Struthio camelus: one gene and its partners. The protein of the gene in region 1 purifies or fractionates together with the protein of each later gene. This does not show direct contact. Links are inferred from orthologs where the notes say so. Each region holds a gene or a part of one and is shown on either strand. Other genes may lie near its edges.

Region 1 (7,043 bases):
TGGGCAAGCAGTTGAAACAGTCGGTGAAGGTCTTCCAGAGCTTGATGTTGTACCGCCGCTTGCCTGCAAGGCAGGTGGGCATGGCTGCCTCGCGCTGCCACCCAGGGGAACAAGGGGGTGTCCGGGGCTGCCCCCGGCCTGGCGCTGCCCTCGGCACAGCCACAGGGCTGGTTGGGTGGGCACACGTGCCAGGTGATACATCCAGAGCTGCATGGGTGCCTGTGGGCCCTAGGCACAGCTGTGACTGCAGGGGCCAACGACATGGGCTGGCACTGGCTCATGCAGGGGGTGTCCTGGGGCACACGGCCCTTTGTGGCCTCTGCTAGGGGTGGCTGGCACAGGGGTACAAAGGGGGTGCAGGGACAGGCGTAGGGCATTCCCCCTCGGCAGAGAAGCAGTCAGCGTGGTTGATGCTGGGTGGTACGTGGGCATGAGGGTGGCACCAGCACTCATGCCCGTCACAGGAGCCATAGATGCGGCTGATGCTGGGGCACACAGGGATGGCACGAGCGACACGGCTCTGGCAGAAGCACTCACACTCATCATAGAAGCCGTAGATGCGGTTGATGCTGGCACACTCGTGGTTGCCACGCAGCAGGAAGAAGTTCTCGGGGTACTTGATCTTGTACGCAAGCAGGAGGCAGATGGTCTCCAGCGACTGCTTGCCTCGGTCCACATAGTCCCCCAGGAACAAGTAGTTGCTCTCGGGGGGGAAGCCCCCGTACTCGAAGAGCCGCAGCAGGTCATAGTACTGCCCGTGGATGTCCCCTGGGGGAAGGGGGTGTCAATGCGACCCATAGCCCCCCAAGGCACCCTGCAGCTGGCCCTAGTATTGCCCATGCACGTCCCCTGGGGAGCACAGGGGTGTCACTGGGACTCCCAGCTTGCCACGGCATCCCAAACCTCCCCCCGCAGCGTCCCTCAGGGGCTCTCCCAGCCGCATGCCAGGGTGCCCGGCCGGCGCGCTGCCCAGCTAGCGCTCACCACAGATCTTGAGGGGCGCCTCCAGCTCCAGCAGGATGGGCTGGCTGAGGAAGATCTCCCGTGATTTAAGGCACAGCCCTCGGATCTCGTTCTCCGTCAGCTGCACATTCTTCCCTGGCCGTGACCCCTGGACTGGCACCGCAAGAGAGAGCGAGACAGGCATCAGGCACCCAGTAAGGACTCCCCACGCCCCTCAGAACTGGCACTAGGGAAGAAACCGGTGTCAGCGACACTGGCACAACCTCAATACAGCCAGAGACAGCCACCCTGAGCGCACCCACACAGCACGCTTGGACAAGACGGACATGAGAGAAGCAGCACCCACAGGCTGACAACGGAGGAGACGGCCCCTGCCTGCCCCCAGGGTGGGCACGGATCAGCCCTCCCCCCTCTCCTGCCAGAGCCAGGGTTGTGCTAGGGCATCACAGCCTGTGACCCTGCTGGGCCTGAGGCACAGGGACTCCCTGAGGCTGCAACACACCCATGCCCCCCCTGCGCCCCCTGAGCCTCCAAACCCCTTCCTCCTCGCTGATCTCCAGCCTGACCTCCTGGTGCCCACCAACCTGGCCCCCCTGACTCCCAACACAGCCCCCACCCACAGCCCCTCCACACCGCCTCCGGTCCTATCCCGAATCCAGCAGCCCCACTGTCAGCTCCTCACTCCCCTGAGCCCCAACCTCAACATCCAACTCCAGAAGTCCCTGCCACCCCCTAAATCCACCTTGCACCCTCCGTACAGCCTCCAAACCCCATAGCCCCCCAAACCTAACCCCCAGACCTCTGCACAGCCCCTGAACCCCACAGCCCCCCAGACCTCCCTGCTGCCTCCCAAGCCTCCTAGCCCAATATCTAACCCTCACCTTCTGCACAGCCCCCCCATCTCCAGCCCCGCAACAGCCAGTCCCAAGATCCCCATCTCTATCTCCCCCAACATGCAGTCCCCAGGCCCAAGACCTCCTATCCCCCAAAGCCAGCCCCTCAGTACTCCCAGTCTCTCCCAAACCCAAATCCCAGCTCCAAGACCCCCCAGTTCCTCCCAATCCCCCAATACCCAGCCCCTAGGCCCCCCAAGACCCATCCCCACAACCCCCAGCCAGGCTCAAGGTCTGGACCTAATGCACTGGTACTGCATGGGGCCTTGGGGACCCCACCTATTGCCCCCCAACCAAGCAACTGCCCCCTAGGGCTTGCAGACTAATAACCCCTCTAAACAAGTACCCCGGACCTGACACTCTCTCCCTCACCAAAACCAGGCCTAGGAAACCCCCCCTGGGGTCCCCAGCACTGCCCCCCAGTCCAGTCCCGACACGGGCTAGGGGGTGGGGGCCCAGGACGGAGCAGGGTGGCCCTAAGGCAAGTCCAGGGGGAGTCCCTGGGGCAGTGGGGGGGGCTCTGAGGAAGTTGGGGAGCCGGAATGGGGGTGTTTGAGGCAGTTGAGGGGTCCCCAGGGCAGCTGGGGGGGCCCTGAGGAAGTGTGGGGGGGAGGAGCCCGTGGGGGGGGGGTGAGGCAGTGGAGGAGGGCATGAGGAAGTGGGGGGGAGTCCAGGGAACTTGGGGACCCCGGAAGCAGTAGGGGGGGGCCGGAGGCAGTTGGGGGGTCGGGGCAGCTGGGGAGGCCCTGAGGAAGTGGGGGGGGCGGGGCATTTGGGGGGGCCCTGAGACTGTGGGGGGGGCTCTGAGGCAGCTGGGCGGGCCCACAGGCGTTTGGGGGGCGGCGGGGCACTTGGGGGGCCCTGAGGCGGGGGGGGGGGCCCTGAGGCGGTGGGGGCAGTTGGGCGGGCCCGGGGGCAGTTAATGGGGGCCCGGGGGCAGTTGGGGGCCCGCGGCCGCGGGAGGCCCCGGGGCGGGCGGGGCCGGGGCCGCGGAGGGCCCGGGGCAGAGCCGCCGCCGCCGCCGCGGCGCTCACCCTCCAGGAGGCGGCCGATGATGGAGTCCAGGTTGAGCTTCTCGGTGTCCGCCATGGCCGCCAGCCGCCCCGGACGCCTGGGCCCCCACGCGCGCGCGCCGCCCGGCCCGGCCCGGCTCCGCCCCGCCCCGCCCCGCCCCGCCCCCGCCGGGCGCGCGCGGCCGCCGGCCAGAGGCGGCGCCCCCTGGCGGCCTGGAGGCATCGCGCCGCCGGCAGGGGACGGGGGACCGGGGGATGGGGGGATGGGGGACACTGGGGCATGGGGACACGGGACAGGGGACGGGGGACGGGGGGGACAGGGGACAGGGGGACAGGGGGACACGGGACACGGGGACACGGGGACTTGGGACACAGGGGCATGGGGACACGGGACAGGGGGACAGGGGGACAGGGGACACGGGGTCAGGGGGACTTGGGACACAGGGGCATGGGGACATGGAATAGGGGATGGGGACATGGGACACGGGGATGGGGTCGGGGGGACAGGGGACACGGGGGACATGGGACACGGGGACTTGGGGACATGGGGATGGGGGAGAGGGGACACTGGGGCATGGGGACAGAGGACAGGGGATGGGGCGGGGGACAGGGGGCATAGGGACACGGGGACAGAGGATAGGGGGACACGGGACAGGGGACATGGGGATGGGGGACATGGGGACATGGGACACTGGGGCATAGGGACACGGGACAGGGGATGGGGGATGGGGGACAGGGGGACATGGGGACATAGGGACACGGGGACAGGGGTACATGGGACACTGGGGCATGAGGACATGGGACAGGGGACAGGGGATGGGGGATGGGGACAGGGGACAAGGGGAAATGGGTACAGGGGAACACAGGGACAGGGAGACATGGGACATGGGTACACAGGACATGGGACATGGGGACGGGGACAGGGGACATGGGGATGGGGACACAGGGACAGAGGATGGGGACACAGGGATGCTGGGACATGGGACACTGGGACAGGGGACATGGGGGCACAGGGACATGGGGATGGGGGACACGGGGACATGGAATATAGGGACATGGGACACAGGGACATGAGGACATGGGGACATGGTGCACCCCCCCATCATGGGGACATGAGGACGGGGGCAGCCCACAGCACAGGGACACGGGGCCCTGGGAGCAGGGGGCCCCCAGCGGGAGGGGGCTGTTGCAGGGCAGGAGCCAGGAGGTGGGGGTGCACGTGGGGGATGAACCCCCTGGGGCTGGGGGTCCTGCGTGGGGCAGACCCATGGGACCCTCCTGAGGGACAGACGCCAAAGGGTTTGGCTGCTCGTGGGAGTGGGCTCATGCAGGCATTGCCCCCACGTGGGGGAGGCCCCAACCCTTATATAAGACATCAGAGAATCTACACCGCCCCCCCCCCCCCCCCGAGGCAGAAGGGCGAGGGACCTGGCAGGCGGCAGTCGTGGCCATGTTTCGGGAGGGCCCGCGGGGCGCCCCAGGGAGGAGCTGCCTTTTCCCGCAGCGACGGGCCACCTACCCTTAACTCTGCCCACGGCCCGTCGCTGCCGTGCCCGCACCCACTGCTGGACGTGGTGTCCCCAGCTCGCTCTGTGTCCCCTCGATGTCCCCGGCTCGCTGAGGGGCTGGAGACCGTGGAGGACAGAGGCTGGCAGGGCCCGGGAAGGGCAGGGCAGCGCAGGGCACCGGGGCCAGCACCACATGTGGCACCACCCGTGGCACAGGACATGGGCGCTGGCACTGGCGTGGCCCAGCAACCCCAAGGTGAAAGCGCTGCGCCCCAGCCCTGCCCGTGCACCTGCACCCCGTCCGTCTGTCCATCCATCCATCCACCCTGTCGGATGGGCACTGTCTGCTCTCTGCCCCTGCCACCGTCCTGCTCGCTACCCGGTGGCCCATCCCATGTCTGTCTGTCCTTGCCCAGCCGTCCGTCCCACCAACCCTCTGTCCATCTGTCCAGCTGTCTGTCCCCCGACCACCCAGCCCCATCCTCTCCCACTTGGGCTGCCCCTGCCACCCTGGCGCTGGGTACACACTAGCACACAGGCTAGGCACAGGCTGGGGGAGGTCCATGGGGTGGAGATGGGCTGGGAGGTGCCCACGGGGTGGGCACCAGCTGGGAGATGCCCCCGGGGTGGGGATGGGCTGGGAGATGCTCATGAGGTCGGGATGGGCTTGGAGGTGTCCATGGGGTGGGCACCAGCTGGGAGATGCCCACGGGGGGGGGGGGAGGGGGGATGGGCTGGGAGGTGTCCACAGGGTGGAGATGGGCTGGGTGGCACCTGTGACCGGGTGGCACAGCTTGGCCCCGGGGTAGAGAAGCGGGAGAGAGCCTGTGGCGCTTCGGAGGAGAGTGGACCTTGCAGGGCTGGGAGAGAGGGCAGTGCCCATGGGCAAGGTGGGGCATTTGGGAGGAGCCATGGGGAGGGCAGGGCCAACCCCCACAGGGGGCGGAGCCTGCAGGGAGGGGTAAGGCCCAGAGCCTTCCTGCTGCTGTCCCTTGGTGGTTTCCAGGGCCCCCCAAATGTCCCTTGGCAGCTTCCAGCTCCCCCCCCACTGTCTCCAGGTCCTTTCCAGGGCCTCCCAAATGTCCCTTGGCAGTCTCCAACCCCCCACAGCTGTCCCTTGGTGGTTTCCAGGCCCCCCCAGCTGTTTCTTAGCAGTTTCTGGGCTCCCCCAGCTGTCCCTTGGCAGTTTCCAGAGCCCCCTAGATGTGCCCCATTCAGGCTGTGTGGTGGCTGCGGTGGTGCTGTGTGGGGCACGGCCAGGGAGGGGGCACAGGGCTGGCCCGCAGCGGGACACAGGGGTGCAGGCTGGGCACCCCGTCCTGACGACACCTCTGCCTGGCTGTAGGGTGTCCGGGGGCCCGCCTGGTGCCCGCCCGCAGCAGCTCCCCGGGGGCGGCACAAGCGGCTGCCGTTCGGCGGCGGTGTGGGGGCACAGAGCCCCTTTGTGCCACCCTGCCCTGGCCCCACGCGCCGCCCCCCAGCCCACCCCGGGCACCCAGCCCAGCCCAGAGCGGTGCACCGGGTGCTCCCCCGGTGCCTGCTGTTGCTGACGGTGACGGCTGTTGCTGTGACGCTGTTGCCACCCCCGCCTCCCTGGGGGGTGCCCGGACACCTGGGTCCCCCGTGGCACACCGAGGCCGTGGCAGCGGGGCAGGGGTGGCACGGGGGAGCGGAGGGGGGGGCTGAGTGCCCTTTGCCCCCCACCGCATTCGGGGGACAGCTGCAGCCCCCCGTGCCCCGCTGCTAATTGCAAGGGCTAATTAGTCCCCGAGGTGAGGGCGCCCAGGCAAACAGGCAGCGAGGACGGCCGGGCGCCGGCAGCGCCGAGAGCTCTGGGCGCCAAAGCGGGCCCCTCCCGGGCTGACCCCCCGGCAGCTGGGAGAAGGACCCAGGCGTCCGAGAGCCCGGGCCGCCGCCCGCGTCGCCCCGGGGCCGGAGCCCAGCCCCGTACGAGCCAGCCGAGAGTCCCCGCGGGCGCCGCGCCGCGCCGTCCAGAATAGCTCCCGGCCGCGGCGCTGACATTTCCCCGCCGCCTGGTGTCGGGTTGTCGGCTGTCCCCAGGCGACCCGGCGCCGGCCGTCCCCAGCCCCGGCCGGGCCCGGGGGGGCCGGGGGGGGCCAGGCTGCTCTGCGCTGCGCCAGTCCCCGCACCCACCCCCTGCACCCACCCCACTGACCCCCTGCTCCCCGCACCCCCTGCACCCACCCCCCTGCTCCCCGCACCCACCACCTGCACCCACCCCACTGACCCCCGCACCCTGCCCCCCCGCACCCACCCCCTGCACCCACCCCACTGCCCCCTGCATCCCCTGCACCCACCACCTGCACCCACCCCACTGCTCCCTACACCCTCTGCCCCCCCCACCCACCCCTCTGCCCCCCTGCTCCCCGCACCCCCTGCACCCACCCCACTGACCCCCGCACCCTGCCCACCCCGCTCCCACCCCACTGCCCCCCTGCTCTCATCCCCTGCCCTCCTGCTCCCCGCACCCCCTGCACCCACCCCTCTGTCCCCTGCACCCACCCCATTGCCCCACTGACTCCCGCACCCCCTGCACCTCTTGCACCTACCCCACTGCCCCCCTGCACCCTGCTCCCACCCTACTGCCTCCTGCCCCCTGCCCCCTTGCACCCACCCTACTGCCCCACTACCCCCTGCCCCCCCCG
Region 2 (7,245 bases), on another chromosome or scaffold:
TACTCTGTGCAATGAGGTGCAAACGCTCATCGTTCTGAACAGGAAGAAAGAGCATATACAAGTAAAATGATTAATGTATTTGGAACAACAAGTTACAAAGGACTTGCTACTGTCTTACAAGAACTTGGATCTATGTGAATTAAGCTAAAATTGGCATGAAAACTTACTGATGAGGTAAGATTAATATTTGCTAGCAAAGAGAACACTGCCTGCTACCCTGTGTTGTGGTTTGACTTATTTGATATACATTGCAATGCTTGTTACACATAAAATAGAAATTCAGTCTAAAGACAGAGACCATGGCCAGAATTAATAGTTAGGACATAAGACAAAACAATCAAGCTTTCATGGTCAAATGGTATAAACTGATGCAACCCCCTTCACTTCACTCATTTATAGCAGTTGAGAATGTGACCCTCTCTGTAAGGAATGCTGAATAGTTTAAAAATAAAAACTTATTGCTGCTTATAGTTCCCAAATGAATACACATGTGCATCAATCACAAATTAAAAGGTAGCATTCACCCCAAAATATCCTGAGGTACAATACTAAATTCAAGATGTTATTTTGTCTTAAAAGAGGAAATGTAACAGCAAACGTCAGAAACAGTACCGCATAAACGGAGAGAACTGTGTGTGCCTGCATTCAAACAGAGAGGGACTAGCGGACAACTGAATAGGAAAAATTTTGTATGATGAGGAGTGCAAAAAGAGGTCATGAACAGCAATCTCTGTTTACAGAGACCTCACTGTGGAAAGAGTCAAGATTCAGCAGTAAAAACAATGTTAGTATGTTACCAAACTTAACTTATCCAAAATAGCTTCCATTTTTCTAGAGGACGCTAATTTCAGTAAATCTTTCTCACTTTCTCCTTAAAGTAGCAAGCTCCCAAAATAGAGTTCTAAGATTAAATTTAGGCTCGTAATATTTGCTTGTATCCACTCCATTCTGTTGCAAGGAATCTTGTATCTGGCAATATTATTCCCATTAACTTCTTCAACCCAACCATGAACGCTCTCTGATTTTTTTTATCCACTATTAAAACTCTACACGCCATAGTCATTTCATTTTTCAGTCTTTTCTCACTATTCGCATTCCCCTCCCAGTATCAGTTTTCTTCTCTCACACATTGGGTTATGTTTTCTGCCACAAGAGCTTGTTCTCGAATACTTTCTGCCACAAGAGCTTGTTCTCGAATACTTCTTAAATCCAAAACTCTCCTCATCTTCAAATGGATCTTTTAAAGGTATTTTCTCCATGAAAATTCCTATGTTGATTCTTAATTCTCAGGGACGCTATCATGAGTAATTATTTTTCTGATAATTTTTTTGTCTTATTTTATTCTGATTTTGCCTAGAAGCTCATTGAAGCAGTATAATAAGTTTCCATATTAATAACTTAAGTTTTTTTTTCCTCATAAATGCTGAATTGTGGGGCCAGTGAAGCCAAAGGTAAAATTCTTATAGAAATCAATGAACCCATGATTTCATCACAACCATTTTGCATACCAATTTGAAACGTCTACAAATAAAGCAGAGAACCTTAACATAAAATTACCTGCTTGGCTGAATGTGGTCACCCAGCTGGTTTCTTTCCTTGTAAAAAATACATGGTTGGTTATCGTCCTGAGTGTCATGGGAAGTCTGGAAAGATAGGAAAGTATGTGATGCTGCTACTGCGATCAAGAAAGCTGATATAAACTAAGTACTCTTTTTCTGTAAGGAAACAAGGAACTGGAATGATTTACCTTTTCAGTGGCATTTGATATATTTTTGCCTAATCTTCCAGAAGATCTCACATGAGAAATTTGTTTCTTTAGTCCTTTGGTACTCAGATGGCTTTTTCCACCGCTGTAACTAGCGAGGATTAAACAGAATACCATACACCAATAGTAACATATTTCATGGTCAGAACAGAAACATAGTAAAAGTTTACAGTGCAACTCAGTTTAAAAGAGAGAGCTGACGGCAACTATGCTTGGAGAGACTTAAAGTTCATGAGAACCATACTGTGGTCGCTTTTTATTTTTATACTACACAAAAGTGCAAAATTCCAATAGATAATATAATAAGAGAACTTGGCCCTTATAAAGACTATTCTGTCAGGGGAAACCAAAGTTATGTTGGGGATAATAAATAGTAAATATTAGAGATTATATACTTAACTATTAATTTATGTAGTACCTGTTACTTGTGGGCCTACTGCAGTTTAGCAGAAGTAATCTTTAAGTATGATATGAAGACCAGTACAAGCCAATTCCTGCCTGGCTATCTCATTTGCATAGTCTCAGTAAAATTTAAAGGAATTTTTCTATGAAGAAAATGAGCAAAGTGAACAGGTAGCATATAGTCTATTATAATATTAATAGAAACTATTTTGCAATAAAGGCACAAACAAAGTCAGTTTCACTATTCAACAAAAAATTCACTATTTTTTGTTGTTGGATCATGCAAAATATTGATAAGGAAAAGCTTCATACGGAAGTGAAAGGAATGACATTATTGATCTGGACAGCTTAAAACTAAATTACACAATATTTCCTTTCCTCTAATAGATCAGATACTTTTCTCTGTAAGCACAGCAGCAAACAAACAAAAAAAAAAAACCCACACTGAATCATTAAAACAGTGTATGCTGTAGGAGTCAAGAAAGTGGTGTTTGTTCTACAAACAAGAAATATTACTAATTTCAAGAAGGAAAGCTTTAAAACGTCATTTTAGAACAGAAATAAACAAGTTGTATCTCCCCAGCCTACTTTAGATTCACTGCAGTACAATTAATTTTGCCAGGCAGCACATATTCTTCATAGCTGTTATGTCAGTGTAGTTTGATTTCGCTTTAAAAAATAGTCATCACTTTAAGAGCTGATAAAATCATGCAAATAAGCCTTGTGCCTTCAGCACTGACGCAGTCGTCTCTGTCGCTGGGACCTGCAAGATCAAACAGCGCAACCGCTTGCGTTGCTGTGGATCAGAGAGGAGGATGAGAATCTGAACAGTACACAGTCATGCATTTATTAACTAATTTACAGTACTTAGAGAAATCTCTAATTATAAAGAGAGAAGGTAATTTCCTTACTTTACCGTTCCTTTGTGGTTTTCATTGATTTGGCTTTCCTTTTCCGGTGTCCCGCTGCGCAGTAATAAAGGATGTTCCTGAATGCCTGGTCCCATTGTTCCTCTCTTTGAAGAGTGTCTGCGCCTTTATTTTTACATAACCTTCAAAGGACTCCAGTGTTTCGGGTTGATGAGACACAGCGCATCAAACGCAGGCATCACCACGTCCTAGAGATGCAGTAAACAAACACCATGCCATTCCTCCCAATGTGATTATTATTTTTTTTTAAAGCAGTAACATAATCAGCTCCCAAACAGTCCTGGAAAACACTCTCCCTTGCCCCAGCGCTGTGCTTACTTCACGGCAGTCGGCATACGGTTCACAAGCCCGTCCCTGAGAGGATGCTTGGGCAAGGTACGGGGAGGCGGGGGGAGCATGAGAAGGTACAGCAGCATTGCATGAGCTACTTTTCGTTTCCTGGCGTGCTCCTCATCGTGTTGCCCTTGCACCACGCCGCGCGTAGGACCGGAGCCAAGCACCGCAGCCAAGCGGCGGGCGGGCGGGCGGGCGGGCGGGCGCCGCTGCGCTGCGCTGCCCTGCGCTGCGCTGCGCTGCGCTGCGCTGCGCTGCCCTGCGCTGCCCTGCGCTGCGCTGCCCTGCGCTGCGCCTGCCTCCCGGGCGCGCCGCGCCGGCTCGTCCTTCCCGCGGCAGGAAACGCGCTCTTGGTACCGTCCGATATGCAAGTTCTCTATCGAATGCTTAATTTTCTTCTTCTTGTTCCAAAACAAATCTCCCAGGACCCTTAAATTCGTACTAAAAATACTACCAGCAGAACATGCAGTATTTTTTTTTATCTTCTAAAAACAGCATTCCCAAGGGCGCATGATTTCCAAAGGGTAGCAGACAATTAGCACCAAATTACCTCTGCTCACCCACCCTTGGTCTTGCTGCAGGGCGTTAATAACGAGCTATATCCGTGTATTTTTTCGCTGTCTTCCCCCCCGCGCCCCGGTCCCGCCAGCACCTGCCCGGTACCTGCCTCCGCCAGCAGCTAAGGGCAAGTCGACTGCGGCGACGTCGCTCTGGCTAATGCGCACGCGCCGAGTGACGACGCATGCGCACCGCGGACGGCTGATGGTTTCCTCTTGATTAGTTGCCCGGGGGGGGGGGGACGCGCATGCGCTGCTGGCGAGGGCGGCGGCGGCGGTCTGTCCGCGGAGGGGCGAGCGGTGCCGGTTGCCGCGGGCTGTGGGGCCGCGGTCGGCTGCCGGCTGCGCAGCGCCCTGCCCTGCCCTGCCGCCAGCTGATGTGGGCTGCCGAGTCCCCGAGCGCGGCTCCCTCCCCGCCCGGCCACAGTACCGACTCTGCCTGCGCGGCCCCGCCCGACAGCCTCCTCACGCCCTCCAGCCGCCGCAGCAGCCTCGGCTCCGGCTCCTCCGTCCCGCCCGACAGCCTCCCGGCCTTTCCCAGCCTGGCCGGTAGCCGCGAGTCGCCCAGCCTCCAGTGTGACAGCCTCGAGTGTCCCTGCTGCCACTGCGGCAGCCTGGCGTCGACGAGCGCCTGCGAGGACAGCCTGCAGCCCCGCTCCGGGGCGCTTCAGGGGCACCGCCGGGCCCCCAGCAGCCTCTGGGACAGCCTGGAGTCCGCCGGCGCCCCGCACGACAGCCTCCAGTCGGTCTCCAGCCTGCAGGAGAGCTTCAGGTCCTCCAGCAGCAGGTGTGATAGTCTTGAATCCCTTTCCAGCCTGTGTAGCAGCTCCTCCAGCCAGCGTAACAGCCTCGAGGTCACCAGCCGGTGAGGCGGCCCTCAGCTTTCCCCTCCGATGCACGAGCCTCCGGTTCGCTGCCAGCTGCTGCGAGAGCTTCCAGGTTTCTGCCCTTCACTGCGGAAGGCTTCGTTGCTCCAGTGAATTCCTGCAGCAACCAGCAGAACAACCCCAAATACCCTCCTGCTCTGGCTGTCGTTCCCAAGTTACGTGCTTCAGAGAGGCAGTACTCAGTATCGGCAGCGTCAACCTCAGCTCTTTGTCATCGGTTAAGAATGGAGGTACGTGGTCCTCGGAGGAGTCCCAGCTACCTCTCCAATCTCTATCAGAACATGTTACAGGCTGAGGCAGAGCCGGGACGAGGGCAGCAGCGGCCCCAGGCAGTTCACACAAGTAGCAGCGTGAGTCTTCTGAGCAGTATCCCGGCCAAGGGGGGCTCGCAACCAAATCGGCCTCAGAGTAGCACTGCCACCAGCTGCGATCCAGCTTTACGGCCTATCATACGCCGCCGAGCGAGGTCTTTGCCTACATCACCTGAAAGAAGAAAGCGAGCAGGAGTGCAGTGCCGAGTTCCAGGATGCGAGGGTCGTACGAACAGGGTGAGATTTGCTGATGCTTTGGGCTTGGAGCTGACTGAAGTGAAAGTCTTCCAGACTGGAGAGGATCCGTCAATCCCCTTGCATGTCCTTTCCAGGCTCTCCATAAACTCAGACCTCTGGGGCAGTAGCTTGGACCTGGAGTTCACCATGCAGTGCTTGGTCCCTGACTTCCAGCAGCCTGCAGACTGTATGGATTTCTCTGCCCGACTTCAGGAGCAGCAGGTGTGTCTTGAACGAGTGACCAATTCAGATTTGGGGCTCAGTGGCACCATCCAAGTTTGTAATATTGCTTTTGAGAAGCAGGTATCTGTGCGATACACCTTCAACCAGTGGAAAAGCCTCCATGAAGTGTGTGCTCATTGGCATAGCAGCATCCCTGAGAAAAACGGGCAAGCTCAGGTTGATGTTTTCACTTTTTTTCTCCCTGTACCTCCTTTCCTCCTTCATCTGTGCTCTGTAGTCCAATTTGCAGCAAGATACAGAGTCAATGGGCAGGAATATTGGGATAACAACAGAGGCAACAACTACAGTTTTACCTGCCGGAATTACCCCCTTAAGATGCCTAGAGAATGTGAGGAGAGCTGGATCCACTTCATCTAAGCAAAAGAAATTGGATGTAGAGCAGCTTTTGAATAGCCTTATTCTCTTCCCTGGCATTGCTCTGTGCTCCTAGGGCAATACAAACCCTCTTTTTGAAACCTGCCAAACCTGGCAAAGTGTTTCAGAACAGGAAAGTAGCCAGTGATGTGTACAAACTGTTCTAAACCTCTCAGAAAGTATAAAGGGCCAAAATGTGTATCGCGTTACATCCGTTGAAAGCCCGCGTGATTTCTTGTGGTGTGTGAATCGGTGCAGAATGGTTCAAAGGGATGCTGTCAGACTAAATATCTGAAAGCGAAGAAAGGCACTTTTGTTGCTAATGGTATTCTGGACTGCATAAAATATTTATAACGAGTCTGTTTTACCATGTCTGGTTTTTTTTAAATGGACAGTGTGGCTTTACTGTTTTTATTTCTATTTTTGTTTATGTTATCTCACCAAGTCTGGGCACTATTCCAGCTTAGCAAAATTTGGATGGCAAGCACAGTAGGGAAGTATGTATTTTTACATAAGTATATTTGTTAACGTTTTAGCCACGTTAAGTGTTTCTATTAATATTTAGTTTGCAAAAGAAATTTAATTATGAGCTAAAACAACATGAAAATGTGCCAGCTGCTCCTCTGTTTCCCTTTTAAAAAAAAAAAAAAGTTTCTTAACCATGTGCCTTTTCTCATCTGCAATGTTTGCTATAGGGAGCAGGCGTGATTTAAGTGTAAATTAGGCTGACCATGGGGGAGTTCTCATCTTTTGGGGTGATGTACAAGTAGGTTTTTTTCTCCAGGGAAATGGAATTGGCCTTTCCTTGTGGAGCTATTTTTATTAAGGGAAACTAGAGCAATTTTGCACTTTTGTTGTGATCACACTTGAAGATCTCAAAGCACTACATAAAAGCTAATGATCTTACACCCATACTAGAAACGGATAAATTTAAAACTCAAGGCATGGGTATGAAAGACAAACTATAAAGGCAGTGCAGTGAGCTGGTCGCGGAGCCTTGGAATAGAACGCTAGAAGCCTGAATCCCCGCTCCCTTTTCCCTAGTGTCCCAGTACTATTGCAGTAGCACTTTTGAGTTCTCTAATCACCTACTACTGATTATAAACTAGTTCAAGACTGAACACAAAATGGGAAAATGATGATTTTACTGGTAAATTGGTTTTTACATGGATCCACAAACAGAATTCCTTTTGCAGCACTGAGAGCAGAGTAACACAGAAGAGTCTG
Region 3 (7,337 bases), on another chromosome or scaffold:
CCGAGGGCAGGAAGGGAGGCCCCGCCGGGCCGAGCTGGCCCTGCCGGATCCGGTTCTCCCGCTGCGACCCGCAGGCCCTCGCCGGCTGAGCTCCGGAAGAGCCACCTAGCTGCAGAAAATGAAATCTGATCTCATTGCCTCTGCGCTTTTAATGCTCTTTATTACATACTGGGGGGAAAAAAAGGAAAGTAAAGGCAACCTGATGCTATTAATGAGCCCATCTGCCTGACATGGGCACATTGTTAGAAAGCAGCAAGAAAAAGCAAACACAAGTGCATGCTGCTGGGAGGGGAGGAGGACGGGAGGAGGGGGAAAGAGGGATTGTTTATGACAAAGCATAAATTATTCACATGCGCAGAGACATACGGAGGAGCAGAGGGCTTTCATCTGAGAGGCACCTCCGTGCCTGAGCAAGAGTGGGGCTGGGGGGGATCTGGGTGCAGATGCATCGTGCACGGCCCTTGCTCTGCCCAGCCCCCAGCCGGCAGTAGGTCCCACTCAGGATGCCGGTGCCCCGGGGCAGAGGTGCCGGTGCCCAGCGCCAGCTCTGCTGCAGGGGGATGCTCTGCCCTGCTGAGCCAGGAGTCTCCAAAGGGCTGGAGATGTATCTGAAAATCTCAGCACCTTGAAGGCCAAGGGGACCTCAAACCATTGTCCAGGCCAAATCCTTGAACCGGGGTCCACTGCTGGTCCCGGGCCACCGCGGCTGCTGCCCGCAGCTGGCACTTCCCTCCCTGCTTACGGCCACTCACTACCTGTTACTGAGATGCTGGTGAGGTTTGTTTCCCAGAGTCCTTCCAGGCCTGCAGGCAAAGCCACCCGCTTCGATACACAGCGCCACTCAGCAGCTCAGTCTAGACCAACTCGATTTGCAATGGGATAACTGAAATCCCATGGACACAGATTTATCTTTTCCACCACTGCCATTAAAAGTAACTAACTGCTATGTCTGGCTGCAAGGTGGATCCACAGTCTGACAGCAGCCTGGCAGAGGTTAAAGAGAGACACCTTTCCCTTCAGACTTGTCTGTTCTCCACCCGAAGCGCAGGGAAACGGCGGCTGCTGCCAACCAGGTTCCCGCAAGGTCTCTGCTGCTTCGGTCCTGGTGTTCAGAGTTAACCGTGGGGAGCGCCATGGGCAAAGCAATCTCGACTGGGACAGCTTGTACTTAATTTATTGCCAATTAACACAAACTTCTAATCATTAATTTGGGTATTGAGAAAAAAGGAAACATAAACAATTAAACAAACACATAGGGAAACCCCTTTCCTCCCCCTCAGATTAAGCCCGTCACCTCTCTTCCCCCCTTCCTGGCCTCGGCTTGCCTTGTTTTCGCTGGGGTTGCACTCGGTCCATCCCAGGTGCTCCGGCGAGGCGAGGGCGGCGCGCGAGACTGCAGCTGTGTGCGAAACGCTTCCGCCTGCCGCTCCTCCGTGCCTCCGGCTGGCTTGCCCCCGCTCCAGGCTCCTCAGTGCGCCTGCCGTGGCACAGGGCGCTGTCTGTGGCCCGCTGGCCTCAGGGCTGTCCCGCGCCGGCGTGGTGCTAACCGGCTGCTCACGTGTGAGCTGGCTGGATGCACAGGCGTAAATTAATTGGGTGCTCATGCAGGAACTAAATACGTTTGTTCACGCACAAACGTATTGGGTGTGCGTGTGTAAATTAATTGGGTGCTCACGGGTGATGGCAGCAAACCCTGCGATTGATGCCAGCGCAGGAGAGGGGGACACGGGCAGTGTCACGTGCTGCTGTGACATCGGCCGCTGCTGTAGGTCACTCTGGGGCACTCGCAATCCCTCACACGCTGTCAAGGACGAAACGGCCATCAGAAAATGTGATTCCACTTTTCACCTCCTCCACCAAACCCATCACACTCATGCCAGATTAATTCCATACACACTTTCTCGCGATTAAGCCTTTCTTCTGCACGCCAAGTGTCACTAATTACAACCCTATAGCTTATCTAGTTTTCAAACCCCAACGGGACGTTACCTCTTTACCCCGAGGCAATCCATTTTGTTTTGACAGCATCTTGTTAAGAACCTCGCCAAAAGCTCTTGGAAATCCAAGTGAATGAGCTGTGACCCTTTCCCTCATCCCGGGAGGGATGCAAGCACTGCAGAGCTCCGCGTTTGGCTGCAACGTGGCATGAGACGAGGTTGCTGCCAGCGGCTGCGGCAGGCTGAGCTCCTGCGGGCGCCCGCCGGCCCCGGCCGTGCCTGGCCTTGCTCCCGTTCGCCGGTGCGTCCCCCAGCTGCTGGGAGACGTGGCCCTGCTCGAGGGAATTCAAACGCGGTGACATCACCTAACTGCACAAATAAAGTACTCTTGCACAAGTGCATTCAAACACGAGCCAAATTCCACACTGTTTCCTGTGACAAAGCCCTTTCCCGCCAGCGACCCCGAGCCGGGCGCCGGAGCTGCGCGATGCCGCGTGACCCCGAGCGCTTCCGTGGGGGAAATCGCTTCTCAGGGCGAAGCAACAACCGCCCGGAGACCCGGCAGAGCACAGCCCGGCGAAGCCCGGGCCCTCGCCTTTCCTGCCTGTGTGCAGTATGATGCCTCTCATCAACGAGAGCTCCTCTTTAATTACGCTAATGGAGTTTACTCACCGCCACAAGACCTCCCCGGCTCCTCAGCTGCCACCGCCGCGGCAAACAGGCCACCGAGGGGAGACGGCCAGCGAGGGCGGCAGGCGGGCGCTGCGCCCCGAGGGCTGACGCGAGGCGCCGGTGCCGGTGCTGTGACCCCTCTCGGGCCCGGTGCCCGGCCTCCCCCCTCCAAAAGGCTCAAAGCCACCACCAGCCCCGGCTCCTGCCAGCAGCTCTTGGGCCTGGCAGCGCAGACATGGCTGTGCCCAATGGGACGGGGATGGGGACAGGGACAGGGAGGGGGATGGGGATGAGGATAGGGATAGGGACAGGGATGGGGACAGGAAAAGGGGGAAAGGGACAGGGATGGGATAGGGATAGAGATAGGAAGGGGATGGAGATGGGGATGGGGATGAGGTCGGGGATGGGGATGAGGATGGGGATGAGGACAGGGATGGGGATGGGGATGGGATAGGGATAGGGATGGAGACAGGAAAGGGGACAGGGATGGGATGGGGATAGAGATGGGAAGGGGATGGGGACAAGGACAGGGATGGGGACGGGATGGGGACAGGGATGGGGACAGGGACAGGGATGGGGACAGGGATGGGATGGGGACAGGGATGGGGACAGGGATGGGGACGGGGATGGGGATGGGGATGGGATGGGGACAGGAAAGGGGACAGGGATGGGATGGGGATAGAGATGGGAAGGGGAAGGGGATGGAGATGGGGACAAGGACAGGGATGGGGATGGGGATGGGATGGGGATGGGGACAGGGACGGGATGGGGACAGGAAAGGGGACAGGGATGGGGATGGGGATGGGGACAAGGACAGAGATGGGGACGGGGATGGGGATGGGGATGGGATGGGGATGGGGACGGGATGGGGACAGGAAAGGGGACAGGGATGGGATGGGGATAGAAATGAGAAGGGGATGGGGATGGGGATGGGGACAAGGACAGGGATGGGGATAGGGATGGGGACAGGGATGGGGACAGGGATGGGATGGGGATGGGGACAGGGATGGGGATGGGGACAAGGACAGGGATGGGGACAGGGATGGGGATGGGGATGGGATGGGGACAGGAAAGGGGACAGGGATGGGATGGGGGTAGAGATGGGGATGGGGACAAGGACAGGGATGGGGACGGGATGGGGACGGGATGGGGACAGGGATGGGGATGGGGACAAGGACAGGGATGGGGCTGGGAAGGGGATGGGGATGGGGACAAGGACAGGGATGGGGACGGGATGGGGACAAGGACAGGGATGGGGATGGGGACAAGGACAGGGATGGGGACGGGAAGGGGATGGGAATGGGGACAAGGACAGGGATGGGGACGGGATGGGGATGGGGACGGGAATGGGGATGGGGACAGGGATGGGGACGGTTACAAGGACAGGGATGGGGACAAGGACAGGGATGGGGACGGGATGGGGATGGGGACAGGGATGGGGACAGGAAAGGGGACAGGGATGGGATGGGGATAGAGATGGGGATGGGGACAAGGACAGGGATGGGGACGGGATGGGGACAGGGATGGGGACAGGGATGGGATGGGGACGGGATGGGGATGGGGACAAGGACAGGGATGGGGACGGGATGGGGACGGGGACGGGGACAGGGATGGGATGGGGACGGGATGGGGACATGGATGGGGATGGGGACAAGGACAGGGATGGGGACCGGATGGGGATGGGGACGGGGATGGGGACAGGTTGGGGACAGGCATGGCGACAGGGACGGCCGCCCCGGCGGCGCAGCCAGGCGCTGCCGGCTGCAGTGCGCTGGAGCGAGCCGGGCCGGGCCGGGCCGGGCCCCGCAGCGTCCCGCTGCCCCCGGTGCCGGTGCCGGTGCCGGCCGCGGGGCGGCGCCTCTCGCCCCGGAACCTGCGTGCGCGGCCGCGGCTGCCGCCCGGCGGGGAGCGCGGCGGACCGGGCCCGGCCCGGCCTCGCCCCGGGGCCGCCATGGCGCGGGACCCGGCCTTCGTGCTGCGCTACCTGGCCGAGGTGGAGGAGCTGGCCGAGGACGTGCTGGCGGCGCGGCAGCAGGTGCGCTACCGCCCCCCCGGCCCCGCCGGCGCCCCCCCGGCCCCCTGCGGCCCCTCCCGCCGCCTCCCGGCCCCTTCCGCGCCCCCCCGCCCCCCCCAGGCCCCTTCCGCGCCCCCCCCGGTGCTCCCCCCCGGCCCCTCGCGGTGCCCCCCTGCGGCCCCCCAGACCCTTCTGGGCCCCTCCGCCCCCCCTAGCCCCCCGGCTTCTCCTGGTGCCCTCTGTGGCCGCATCGCACCTTCCTGGTGCCCCCCGGCTCCTGCTGGTGCGCCCCGATCCCCCCCCCCGCCTCCTCCTGGTGCCCCCTGCATCCCTCCCGGACCCTTCCAGGCCCCCCCAGCTCCTCCTGCTTCCCCCTGTGGCCCCCCCGTCTCCTTGGGCCACGGCCCCTGCAGCCCTCACCCGCTCAGCCCCGCTAACCTTCCAGCCCCCATCCGCCTCCGGGTCCCCTCGTCCAGCCCCCGGTCACCCCTTCGGTCACCCCTTGCACCCTCTGGGAACCCCTGCGTTCCCCCATCCGTCCCGCAGTCGCCCCTTCCGCCCCCCGCAGCTGCGCCGGTGACCCCCGTTCTCGCAGCGGCTCCCCCGGGGTGACCCCCGCTGCAGCCGTACCGTTCCCGCTGCAGATCGTGGACCTGGACGTGAAGCGGAACCGGAACCGCGAGGCGCTGCGGGCTCTGCACAAGGACCCCGACCCGGACGGTGAGGCCCGGGGTGCCCCGGTGTGCCGTTACCTCGAGCCAGGCCGCCCCACGCCCGGCCCTGGTACCAGGCCTGCATGAGCCTACTTGTGCAAAGGAATAGTTTTATATTAGGAAGAAAAAAATTGGTGTCCACAAGGACCTTCTTTTTCCCCCTCCTCAGATAAAGCAATGGTCTGCTTTGGAAACATGTTCATTGAGCTGCCAAAATCAAAGACTAAGGAGATGATGCAGAAAGGTAAGACAGACTTCTGGAGTGTCCTTTTTTGTACGTTCAAGCTTCTGTCTAGTCCTGGGCTTTGAAGCACACAAAACCTTCTGACTGTAGTTAAAAATAGAGATTCTTGGCATTCCTCGTGTTCTGCTGTCCTGGACAGAGCATCGCAGGGAGGCACGTTTTGGTAGAAAGTGAACTTTTTCTATAGGCTGCAGAGAACATGCAACAAGCCTGCGTGCTCGAGGTTGCAAGGAGAATGAAGCTCACAAGCATCCTCTCCTGTCACCCCATGCTCAGGCTTCGACCCTGAATATCTCCCAGCAGCAGCCAGGAGTTGGGGTAGCTCTGTGTTCATCCACAGAACTCCACAGCTCCTTACCGCTCTCTCCCTTCTCTCAGATCAGGAGCACTTGGATGAGGAAATAAACAAGCTTCGGAAAGAGCTGCGTGTGAAGGTCAACCGTCTCTTTGAAGCTCAAGGTAGATGCTCTTATTCTTGAACCTTCTCAGCGAACACCCAGGAGCAGATGTTACATGGCAGGAGGAGCTCCTGCGCTCTGTATGTTCCTAGAGCCCCCTTTTCCCTCGCTTTCCAATTCTGTTCCTGTTCAAGCAGCGCTGTGGGACCATGCAGCTCTTGTTGCAAAGCTGTCATCCACTAGCAGACTAAACAGGCTTTCCAGCTACTCCAATGACTCTGTATCAACTTCCAGGGCTATCACTGTCTTCTCTAGAGTCCTTGCAGTGATGGCTACTTAACATCTTTTGTAGCTACTTAACTTATTTTGTAGCAAAACCCTGATTTTCTGCTTGCTTTCTCTCAGGTAAAGCTGAGCTGAAAGGATTTAATCTGAACCCCATGACTCCTGAGGAAATGAAACTAATCAATCGCATACTGGAGGGCTGAGATGGCAGTGGCATCACCATGACCATGGGCAAATAGTGTTGCTTATCAAGGCATTATTTAGGCTGTCACGTGTGGAATTCATACTGCTCTATCAGTGGCCAACCTCCAGGGTTTTCTTTAGGAGAACATCTGTATTCCTGGAACCTTTCTCAAGTGGTATTTACCTGGTAGGCTTGGGGAGGCATTTGGCTCCTCAAATAGAACGCTGCAATTTCTTTGGACTATAAACTGTTCCTGCTTCTTGCTGGATAAAGATTGGGCGCTGGAACTGTGCAGAGGAAAACGTTAGAACACAGGCTCATTCAAGGCATTTGACAAACTGCCATTGCTAGGGTGGAAGTGGGATTATTAAAATCTGAGAAACTAAGCATTCCTAATAGTGTGCATGTTCTGTTGTTGTTTTTTTCTTTTTTAACGTAATATCTTCTGTAAGTTAGCTTCAGAGCTAGTTCATTCTAGTGTCGGAACAGGAGTAGGAGGGAACGAACTGTGAATCCACAGTGTGTCCAAAGCATAAAGGAAGAGTTGTGTAAGCCTGTGGTATTAGAACAAAGTAAAACTATACATCAAAAACACTTCAGGAATCTTTTTTAAAAAAATGTGTGAAGAGGGATACAAGAGGGCAGCATCCTTCTAGTCTCCGTGGGAAAACATTTACTACTGTCAAGTTGGAAGGCAAGAGAACAGGGAAAACAAGGCTTTCAAAACTAGAAGAAAGGATAAAGTGTTAAAAAAAGAAAAAAAGACTGACATATCCTTGGCCTGTCTTGTAGTAAAAGGACAATTGATTTAACCAATAGTTGTTTCCTCAAAGGTTTTAAAATTTATCTTCTGTACTACCCTAATTAGTCTGAACTTGCTACCCCAACAC
Region 4 (7,793 bases), on another chromosome or scaffold:
AAGGCTACTGCCAATGGGTTGAGCTAGCCTGGTTAATCGGTTTCTTTAGCAGAATAGTGCAGCCTGATGGGAGTTCTGCCATGGGAGCTGAATTAAGCATAATGTCACTTTTCAAACCAAGTTCCCAGGCTTTGAGCAGCTTCCTGTTAAATCATCAGGCTTCATAGCTCATGAACACTTCACTGCCCTGCATGTCTCAATCTGTTATATCAATACATACTTGCAAAGTTAAGGGAAAGTATACATTTACTCCCTTAAGAAAAGGCCTTACACAGTTATAATTCACAGAGATATTACTATATCATACTACATACCATTCATATAAGAAACATACTGTCTAATTCTTTTTAGCATTAATTATTAGATTTTTCTGAACTCATCTAACACAAAAGGTCAAAAAAGGTAACATACCAGTCCAATTCTTAAGCAAAAGAGGCTTATGCATTATCCATCAGTCCTCCCAGCACAGCTGAAATACTGGCCATCTTCAAACAAACTCTAACAAACGATAGCGGTCTTACAGATAAGTTTCTACATCTCTTGTGAAAACTGGCAACCGTGTAAAGGCAAGGCCCAGTTCAATGGCCCACACAGCGTAAAAGACTACAGCACGAGCTCAGGTGTCACCCATTTTGCTTGGGCTGCCAGCTTACTAGTGAAACAGAGCAAGAGCTGTTCTTTGCCCAGACAACCAGAGGGATACAGGACAGAATTCATGTGCAAAAAACAGAATTGTTTTTGTTAAGGGTATGTAAGGAAGGAAGACAAATCCATGGGAAAGTCTATTTAATTCCACTGCTCACAAAATCAGTTGCATTTATTTAATAGCCTTATACTCTTAGCAGTGACCTGCAAGAAGGAGGGCTGTAAGGTGGGAACATGCGTTTGTTCTCATTTTTCTCCCTTTAGATACAGGAGAGACTTGTAACTCTCTAGATAAGGCAATTGTCCTTGGGTGGAAGGGAATTTACTTTTAAACAGCTTGCACTTTAATGGAAAAAACATAAGTTTGCTACTGTACCCACAACTTTGTTGGTACCACTCAAAACATACCTCTGTCAAGGAATCTGCAGTCTCTGGATCTGATTTTGCAAAGTATTATCTGAAGGCAGAGCTCTTTGCAAGATCAAGGTCTACACAGTACCTGTAAAATTAATACACTCATGTCACCAATAGCAAGGAGGAGAAGCTTGATAGAGACATGAGCACTTTTATGTGTTCAGACAGCTTCATTCTGTTCACTTAGTTTTAGAATTAGTTACAGATTTAGGAGTTAACAGAGAGCGTTTGTTAAGATTCATCACTCCTCCTTCTTTGATGAAGAGTAGAAAAAGCTTTCAGCTCCTTTTGTGGAGCAGGGAAGGAAATGACACACAGATCTTGATATTACTAAGATGCAGAGAGGAACAAGGCAAAAATTAAAGAATCTCAAGTCCTCTATTTCTCTGCATCTGTCACAAAGCAACGCGTTTATAGCATTTAGCTGTTTTCCTTGTTTTCTCTTCAATGTACCATTCCCCTTCCCAGTTCTTCTCTCTCCTATACTGAATTTCTTCCTTAAAAGTGTTCATTTTAATTGCTAACGTTTTTAAGGACTCAGGGGAGAAAGGGCAGGAAGTCAGACTTTTGGGATAGGGTAAAAATGTAAAGGTCATTCACACACTCACACACACATACTCTCTCTCACTCTAAAAATAATACACTATTTGACAGTTTCAGGATTCAGCATGTCCCATTGAAATTTGAAAGCTTATGTGAAACTAGGCCATGTCCTGTAACCTCAAACATTTAGTCTAGGAAAACAGCTCTCAAGTCTCCAGCTCCCACATCGGGTATCACATGACGTCTGTGCCAAATAAGAGACCTCAAACGGTTTGGCGGGGGGGGGGGGGGGGGGGGCCGGGAAATGTTGGTAAAATGAGTTGATTAAACCTGGGGAATAGTAGTTCAGACTGTTAGCGAAAGGTATTATTTTTCTGGTTAACTGGATAGTGAAATATTAAATTATGCTCAAAGCATCTATAACAGCATATGAGATGGACAGAATGGTCTCACAACCTACTTATGTTCCGTTTGTTGGCATGGACAAAGGAGAAAGATGACTCATGCCTTTCAACAAAATAATTTTACCCTCCCCTGCTCTAATAAGTATGTTAGCTATTCGAGATCACAAAAGTCACATTAGGCCGCAGTTCACTATTTCTCAAGCTGATGCATCATAACTACACATTAGACATCAACTTTAATAGACCATTTAAGCTATTTAAGTTCCACTCTAAGCTTTCCAGTAGTTCCACTTGTACTCTGCTCTTTCTGAGGAATAAACAATTAATCCTGTGTGGTCTAAAGGACTATTGTTTATTTTCCCTCACCTAAAGGTACTCCTTTCTGCCCTTTAACTGCATTTTCAGTATGGTGCTCAAAGAACATATGGAATGAGTAAAATAATCAATACAATAAAATGTGCCAAACCAATCATAGCTTATGGATGAGAGAAAGTCTCTTAAATTGATACCAACTCAGGCAAGTAAGAGGGAGAAACCAGCCTCACTTCTGCCAAACAAACAATTGTTTACTGTTTTTTTTTTTAATTGAAATATCAGCTTTTACTGCAAATGCAAACCCAAACCATTTTCATAACAATCTCTGCAGTCAGTACTAAAATTGTGCCTTCAACACGGCACTAGTTTTATTTACTGAACAGAGGTGGTCACTAGCAGCCTGACTGTTAGGCTCTATTCCAATTCTATTTTGGAAACATTATGTTGTTAGACAAACATTTAACACTTCTGTTTTTCAGTTTCCTCTCATGCTAAATGGCTACACTACTGATCTTTATCAAATACTCTGTAAACTGCATTAGTATTTCTAGAGTTCAAGATTCTTCTGCAGCATATCTGGTCTTTACACAAATGGAATATTTCTCTTCTTCCTCTAAATTATAACGATAGTTAACAGCAATTCTCTGTCCTTGCCCTCTACATTTTTATACTCAGAAATCCATCACAGAGAAACAAGGAAATGTTACCAAGTAAACTCTGGAACACCGTAGTCTCAGAAATGGCCTAACTGCAACTTCAAACAAGATAATGACTTAGACTGAAATCTGTCCATACACTCCATTTGAACTAATGGCTATGTATTTCACCCGCTACCAGCCCTTCTTTTTTAAAAGGAGGGCCATGCGTAGCAGAAGTCTTAGAGAATTTGCTATTTTTTTTTCCTAGAATCAGCAAAAACTTGAACTCTGACCGGACTTACCCACAACACTTGCAGCAGTTCAATGCACTAGAGAAATCAAAGCTGTTTATTTGCTCTTATACAAAAGAGAATTTGCAGTTTAGTATATTAGGCATTTGTATTCTGTGACTGATATAGCCCCAAAAGGATGTAAAGAGCCCAATAGTATACATACTTTTTTAATTACTTAAAGGATAGCTTATATTTATTAGGTTCAAGAGGAATTCTTAGCTAAACAGTCACAGAAGATGATACTCTTACAAACGTGTTGAACTATGCCATATGTGTGCAATTATATTCTAATTGCAATTTAAGCTAGATTATGTAAATATAAATTGATAGAACAAGTTATCAAAAAAAGAAAGCAGCAAATAACTTTTTTTCTTTTTTAAATGAATAACAACTAATGGAGGCCCCTAGACAAAAAGAAGATGACTAAAAGTGTTCACCAGGCTTTTGTAAACTCAAATACAACACCCATCGCCTCTAGAAGCCACTCTCATAGCTCATACTATCACCCAGCTGCTTTGGCAGTTCGCCCTGGCAGGCCACAGAGGAGCTGAACGGGCATTATCCCGTGGCACACCAGACAGCAACCCAGCATCTTATCGCACTCACCCGCTAACCTTGAACACTACAAGCACAGCCGCTGCTTTACAATCAAGTGCACAAACTACAACAAATTCACTGGAAGAGAATCTCCTTTTTTGGGACAGCAATCCCAACATTTACAAACGGGGATGATAAACACTAGTAAATTGCTGGAATAGCAGCTTCCGAGGTCCTGTCTCAGATTTCACAGTCAGACATGTCCATCTCAGGCATTTGAACCCTAAACAGCAGAGGCAGCAGTTACTGCTAGACCACTATCACTTGAGCAGTAGGGTATACAAGTATAAAAGCTGTAGCCTTGCACAGCTAAGGAAACAAGGGTAAACTCTGCAGCTACCTGTTGAGAAAATGAAGTATTTTTCCCTCCACTTCAGGAGATCATAAAGCCCAGAAAGAGGGCATTTTTGGTCTAGGCACAGCACACGCGAGCTGTATGAAAGCCAAGCTAAAACCACAGCTGCTTAAAGAAATGCTTTGGATATGCAGAAAAACATAACTATTTCTCAGTTAGGTGGAGAACCAGAACTCAGCACAAGACTCCCAGCAGACAAACACCGAGCAAGCCCTCCTCGAGGGGGCGGCCCGCTCTCGCAGCTAGGCCTGGCGCTGGCTTCGGGAAGGCCTCGCTCCCCTCGCCCGCCTGCCCCGTGGCCGGCCACAGGACCCTGCAGAGCCCCAGGCTGGTTAAGCGAAGGGGAAGGTGACTGCCGAGCAAAGAAAAGCTGAATTTCCCCTCCAGGCGTCACGGTACCCGCCCAGTCCCTCCACCGGCCCTGCCTGGCCCCGGCCCGGCTCCTCCGCGGTGCCCGCACCCGGCCGGACCCTCCCGAAGCGCCGCGCGCGGAAGCGGGTAGACGGACTCTAAAAGAAAAGCACCCGCCCGGGGTGACAAGCAGGCGCCGCGCCCAATAAGCATCGGGAGCGGCGGGGCGGGGGCCAATGGGGCGGCGGGGCGGGCCGAGGCGGCCGCGCGCCGGGAGCCTTGGTAACGCGCGGGCCGCGTGCGGGGAGTGCGGCGCGGAGCGGAGCGGCCCCCGCCATGAAGATCGAGGAGGTGAAGAGCACCTCGAAGACGCAGCGCATCGCCGCCCACAGCCACGTCAAGGGGCTGGGGCTGGACGAGAGCGGCACGGCCAAGCCGGCGGGCGCCGGGCTCGTGGGACAGGAGAACGCGCGGGAGGTGAGCGGCGGCGCGGCCTGCCCGGCCCGGCCCGGCCCGCTCGGGACGGCGGTCTGTGCGCGCCGGGTGCCCCTCTTCCCCTTCGTCCCGCTCCCTTCGGCGAGCGAGGCTCGACCCGGCCTCCTCCGCTTACTCCGCTGCTGCCTGGGAAGCGGCGCGGGCAGCCCTGGGCTGCTCCTTGTGCCGCTACTCTTGTATCACCCGGCGCCGCGGGCAGGTGACAGCGTCCCGGGTTTTAGGCGTAGAAATTGAGGTATGGAAAGCAGGAAAGCCCGCCTAAAGTCAGCGATTTGGTGCAGCTAGGGACCGGCGCTTCAGTTGCAGTCTGACGGCTGGCCCCGGGCCGGCGCTTTAGCCATTCTGTCTTTCTGAAAGTCACAGAGCCGTTTCTTGCTTCATTCTTAAACCTTAGTGTGTGTGTGTAGTCCTGGGAGGGACCGGGGGATCCTGGGACTGACGGAAGTCTGTGCTTCTACATCTGGGTTTTGTTGCTTGTGACTTTTTTCTCAATCTCTTCAGCAAATAAAATGATTGCAAGAAGTAGGTCTCCCTGATCTTGCTTCACTTTTATATGCTTAAAACTGAAGTCTTCTTTAATTTTAGTGGGTTCTCAAAGCCTAATATCTCTAAGTACTTTAAATAACACTGGAACGAAAGATACTATAGCAATGCGTTTCATAACAGTTTAAATGTTTACTTAATTTATAGGCATGTGGGGTTATAGTGGAATTAATCAAAAGCAAGAAAATGGCTGGAAGAGCTGTGCTGTTGGCAGGACCTCCTGGAACTGGCAAGGTATTATTTTTCTTTTGATATGGAGTAAAGTATCCCCAAATTATTTTAGGTCAATCTGTTGTCAAAACCATTGTAGGGCAGTAGTTGCAGGAGGTTTCCATCTACTGGAGGTTTTTTCATGATTGTATTGCCATGGTTTCTTGCTTTATGTTTTGATTTTTGCCATGGCTTCAACAGTAGCGGTATGCAGTGGTTTGTTCAGGCATCATTAGCGTGAAACTATCTTATATAGATTAACCAAACACATATGTAACGTGCATTCTGAAGAAAAGTCTTAGAAGTTAATTTAGTATTAGAGGCCTTAAAAGTTTTTGCTTTGTTTTGTTTTTCTCTTGTTATTTAACGCTTATTGCCTTTTGTACCAGATGTCAAATTCAAATGCCTGGTATTGTTTCTTTAAAGTGTTGTGCAAGTCCTAGATAAAAGCTACTTTATGTGTGTTGAATTTGTTTGGTGTGGGGTGGTAGTTATATGTGAGAAGTCTGTAAGTCAGACAGAACAGGAGTAGTATTAAAGTGATGGTTTGGATGAAATAGGATATGATGAGTGAAGTTGGTGCTGTGGAGAAAGAATCCTTTGTTCTCATGAAAAATGAAGTGCGTAATTTTTTTCCTTTCTTTTGAAGACTGCTTTAGCTTTAGCTATTGCTCAGGAACTGGGAAGTAAAGTTCCCTTTTGTCCTATGGTTGGAAGTGAGGTCTATTCCACTGAGATCAAGAAAACAGAAGTCCTAATGGAAAACTTCCGGAGGGCAATTGGTAAGTTTCAGAAAAAATAGAAGAATTAAGTATTTATATGATTTGTGACCCTGCTTGAGCAGGGGGGTTGGACTAGATCATCTTCAGAGGTACCTTCCAACTTCAGCCATTCTGTGATTCTGGTTTTGTTTTTGCCCCGTAATCTAAAAAGGAAAAGCTTCTAAGTGGCCTTGGTGGCTGTCAGATCACAGCCTGTTCTTCTTTTCAGTGCTCATCTTAACTGGGTGAACGTCTTCCACCCTTAATGGAGACGGTAGGGTTTTCTGCATATAAGACATAATTTAGTCATCATATCCCACAGTTATTTTGGTTCATTCTTCTTCCCCAGACTCACTTCTCAACTTCCAGATTCATCTCCTGGTTTTGTCTGTGGCTCTCAAAAAAGCTGAAAGAAAAGCTATTTTAGTTTTTTTATGTTAACAGAAATATTGGTAGACGGCAAAGTGCTCTCTCCTTTTTTCTTTAATGATTTCACCGTAGTAAGCAAACAGTCTTAAGCAGGGACTCCCAAATGGCAACGTTCAGCCTAACTTATTATTTCGGATGAGCACAAAGTGAGTTCCATGCCAGCGAAATAAATGCCTTAACCTAATATCTTCCTCAGCTCTAGAGGAAGACACAAGGCTTTTACAAGCTTGATATAGGTTGGTTAAATTTGCAACACAGCCCACTGAGTATCTACAATCTTTTATATGATTGCTGCTGACAGCTGATAAATGCAGTTAGAAGTGGACCTTGTTTATGAGGATTGCCTAAAGATAGCCTAGTTGACTTTAGTACTGAACGTATTAACAGTTAATTTTCTTGGCTTCTGTATCATTATTCCCCTCAGACTTCATCTAAGTATTTCATAGCAGTAAGGTGAAGAAATCTCTCAGTGGTGCAACCAAACAAAACTATTCCGTTGACTTTCATAAGAAAGCAATTTTCAGTAATCTCTGGTCTTCTAGTCACCATAAATCTGGCAGGGCTTGGGGGAGGGAAGCCAGACTCTAAGTAGTCTGCAGTGTTTCCTTGATGTGATGAAGTTCCCTGTCAGAGATTTTGAAACTTGAACCAACAGATGAAACTTATGCCATCTGTGTTGTCATTTCTAGAGATAGCAGTATTTTAAATCTGTCTAGTTAACAGCCAGCTACATTGTTAGTTCCCTGCATTCCCTGAATGTCAGTAGAGAGAAAATTCTAAACAAATATTGGTGTTAATGA

What was found.
Region 2: the proteins of PPP1CA (region 1) and PPP1R3D purify together in Homo sapiens (affinity purification with mass spectrometry; 3 studies listed by BioGRID and IntAct, counting the BioPlex papers as one, with this or other methods). This does not show direct contact. The link is inferred for Struthio camelus from reciprocal best matches to the Homo sapiens genes PPP1CA and PPP1R3D.
Region 3: the proteins of PPP1CA (region 1) and PDRG1 purify together in Homo sapiens (affinity purification with mass spectrometry; 4 studies listed by BioGRID and IntAct, counting the BioPlex papers as one, with this or other methods). This does not show direct contact. The link is inferred for Struthio camelus from reciprocal best matches to the Homo sapiens genes PPP1CA and PDRG1.
Region 4: the proteins of PPP1CA (region 1) and RUVBL1 purify together in Homo sapiens (affinity purification with mass spectrometry; 4 studies listed by BioGRID and IntAct, counting the BioPlex papers as one, with this or other methods). This does not show direct contact. The link is inferred for Struthio camelus from reciprocal best matches to the Homo sapiens genes PPP1CA and RUVBL1.

Annotation. Positions count from the first base shown.
Region 1 is NC_090946.1:3,707,775-3,714,817, forward strand, and holds the start of PPP1CA (serine/threonine-protein phosphatase PP1-alpha catalytic subunit), read right to left. Parts: upstream 3,010-7,043; 5' UTR 2,946-3,009; coding exon 2,891-2,945; intron 1,117-2,890; coding exon 985-1,116; intron 769-984; coding exon 538-768; intron 64-537; coding exon 1-63. UniProt on the Homo sapiens protein: Protein phosphatase that associates with over 200 regulatory proteins to form highly specific holoenzymes which dephosphorylate hundreds of biological targets.
Region 2 is NC_090959.1:14,321,108-14,328,352, reverse strand, and holds the start of PPP1R3D (protein phosphatase 1 regulatory subunit 3D), read left to right. Parts: upstream 1-4,232; 5' UTR 4,233-5,097; coding exon 5,098-6,021; 3' UTR 6,022-7,245. Other genes in the region: protein FAM217B, read right to left, coding at 1-34, 1,558-1,643, 1,748-1,856, 3,079-3,173. UniProt on the Homo sapiens protein: Seems to act as a glycogen-targeting subunit for PP1. PP1 is essential for cell division, and participates in the regulation of glycogen metabolism, muscle contractility and protein synthesis.
Region 3 is NC_090959.1:18,591,678-18,599,014, reverse strand, and holds PDRG1 (p53 and DNA damage-regulated protein 1), read left to right. Parts: upstream 1-4,483; 5' UTR 4,484-4,560; coding exon 4,561-4,644; intron 4,645-5,267; coding exon 5,268-5,343; intron 5,344-5,505; coding exon 5,506-5,580; intron 5,581-5,958; coding exon 5,959-6,039; intron 6,040-6,383; coding exon 6,384-6,466; 3' UTR 6,467-6,833; downstream 6,834-7,337. UniProt on the Homo sapiens protein: May play a role in chaperone-mediated protein folding.
Region 4 is NC_090955.1:7,416,958-7,424,750, forward strand, and holds the start of RUVBL1 (ruvB-like 1), read left to right. Parts: upstream 1-4,790; 5' UTR 4,791-4,891; coding exon 4,892-5,032; intron 5,033-5,740; coding exon 5,741-5,827; intron 5,828-6,452; coding exon 6,453-6,585; intron 6,586-7,793. UniProt on the Homo sapiens protein: Possesses single-stranded DNA-stimulated ATPase and ATP-dependent DNA helicase (3' to 5') activity; hexamerization is thought to be critical for ATP hydrolysis and adjacent subunits in the ring-like structure contribute to the ATPase activity.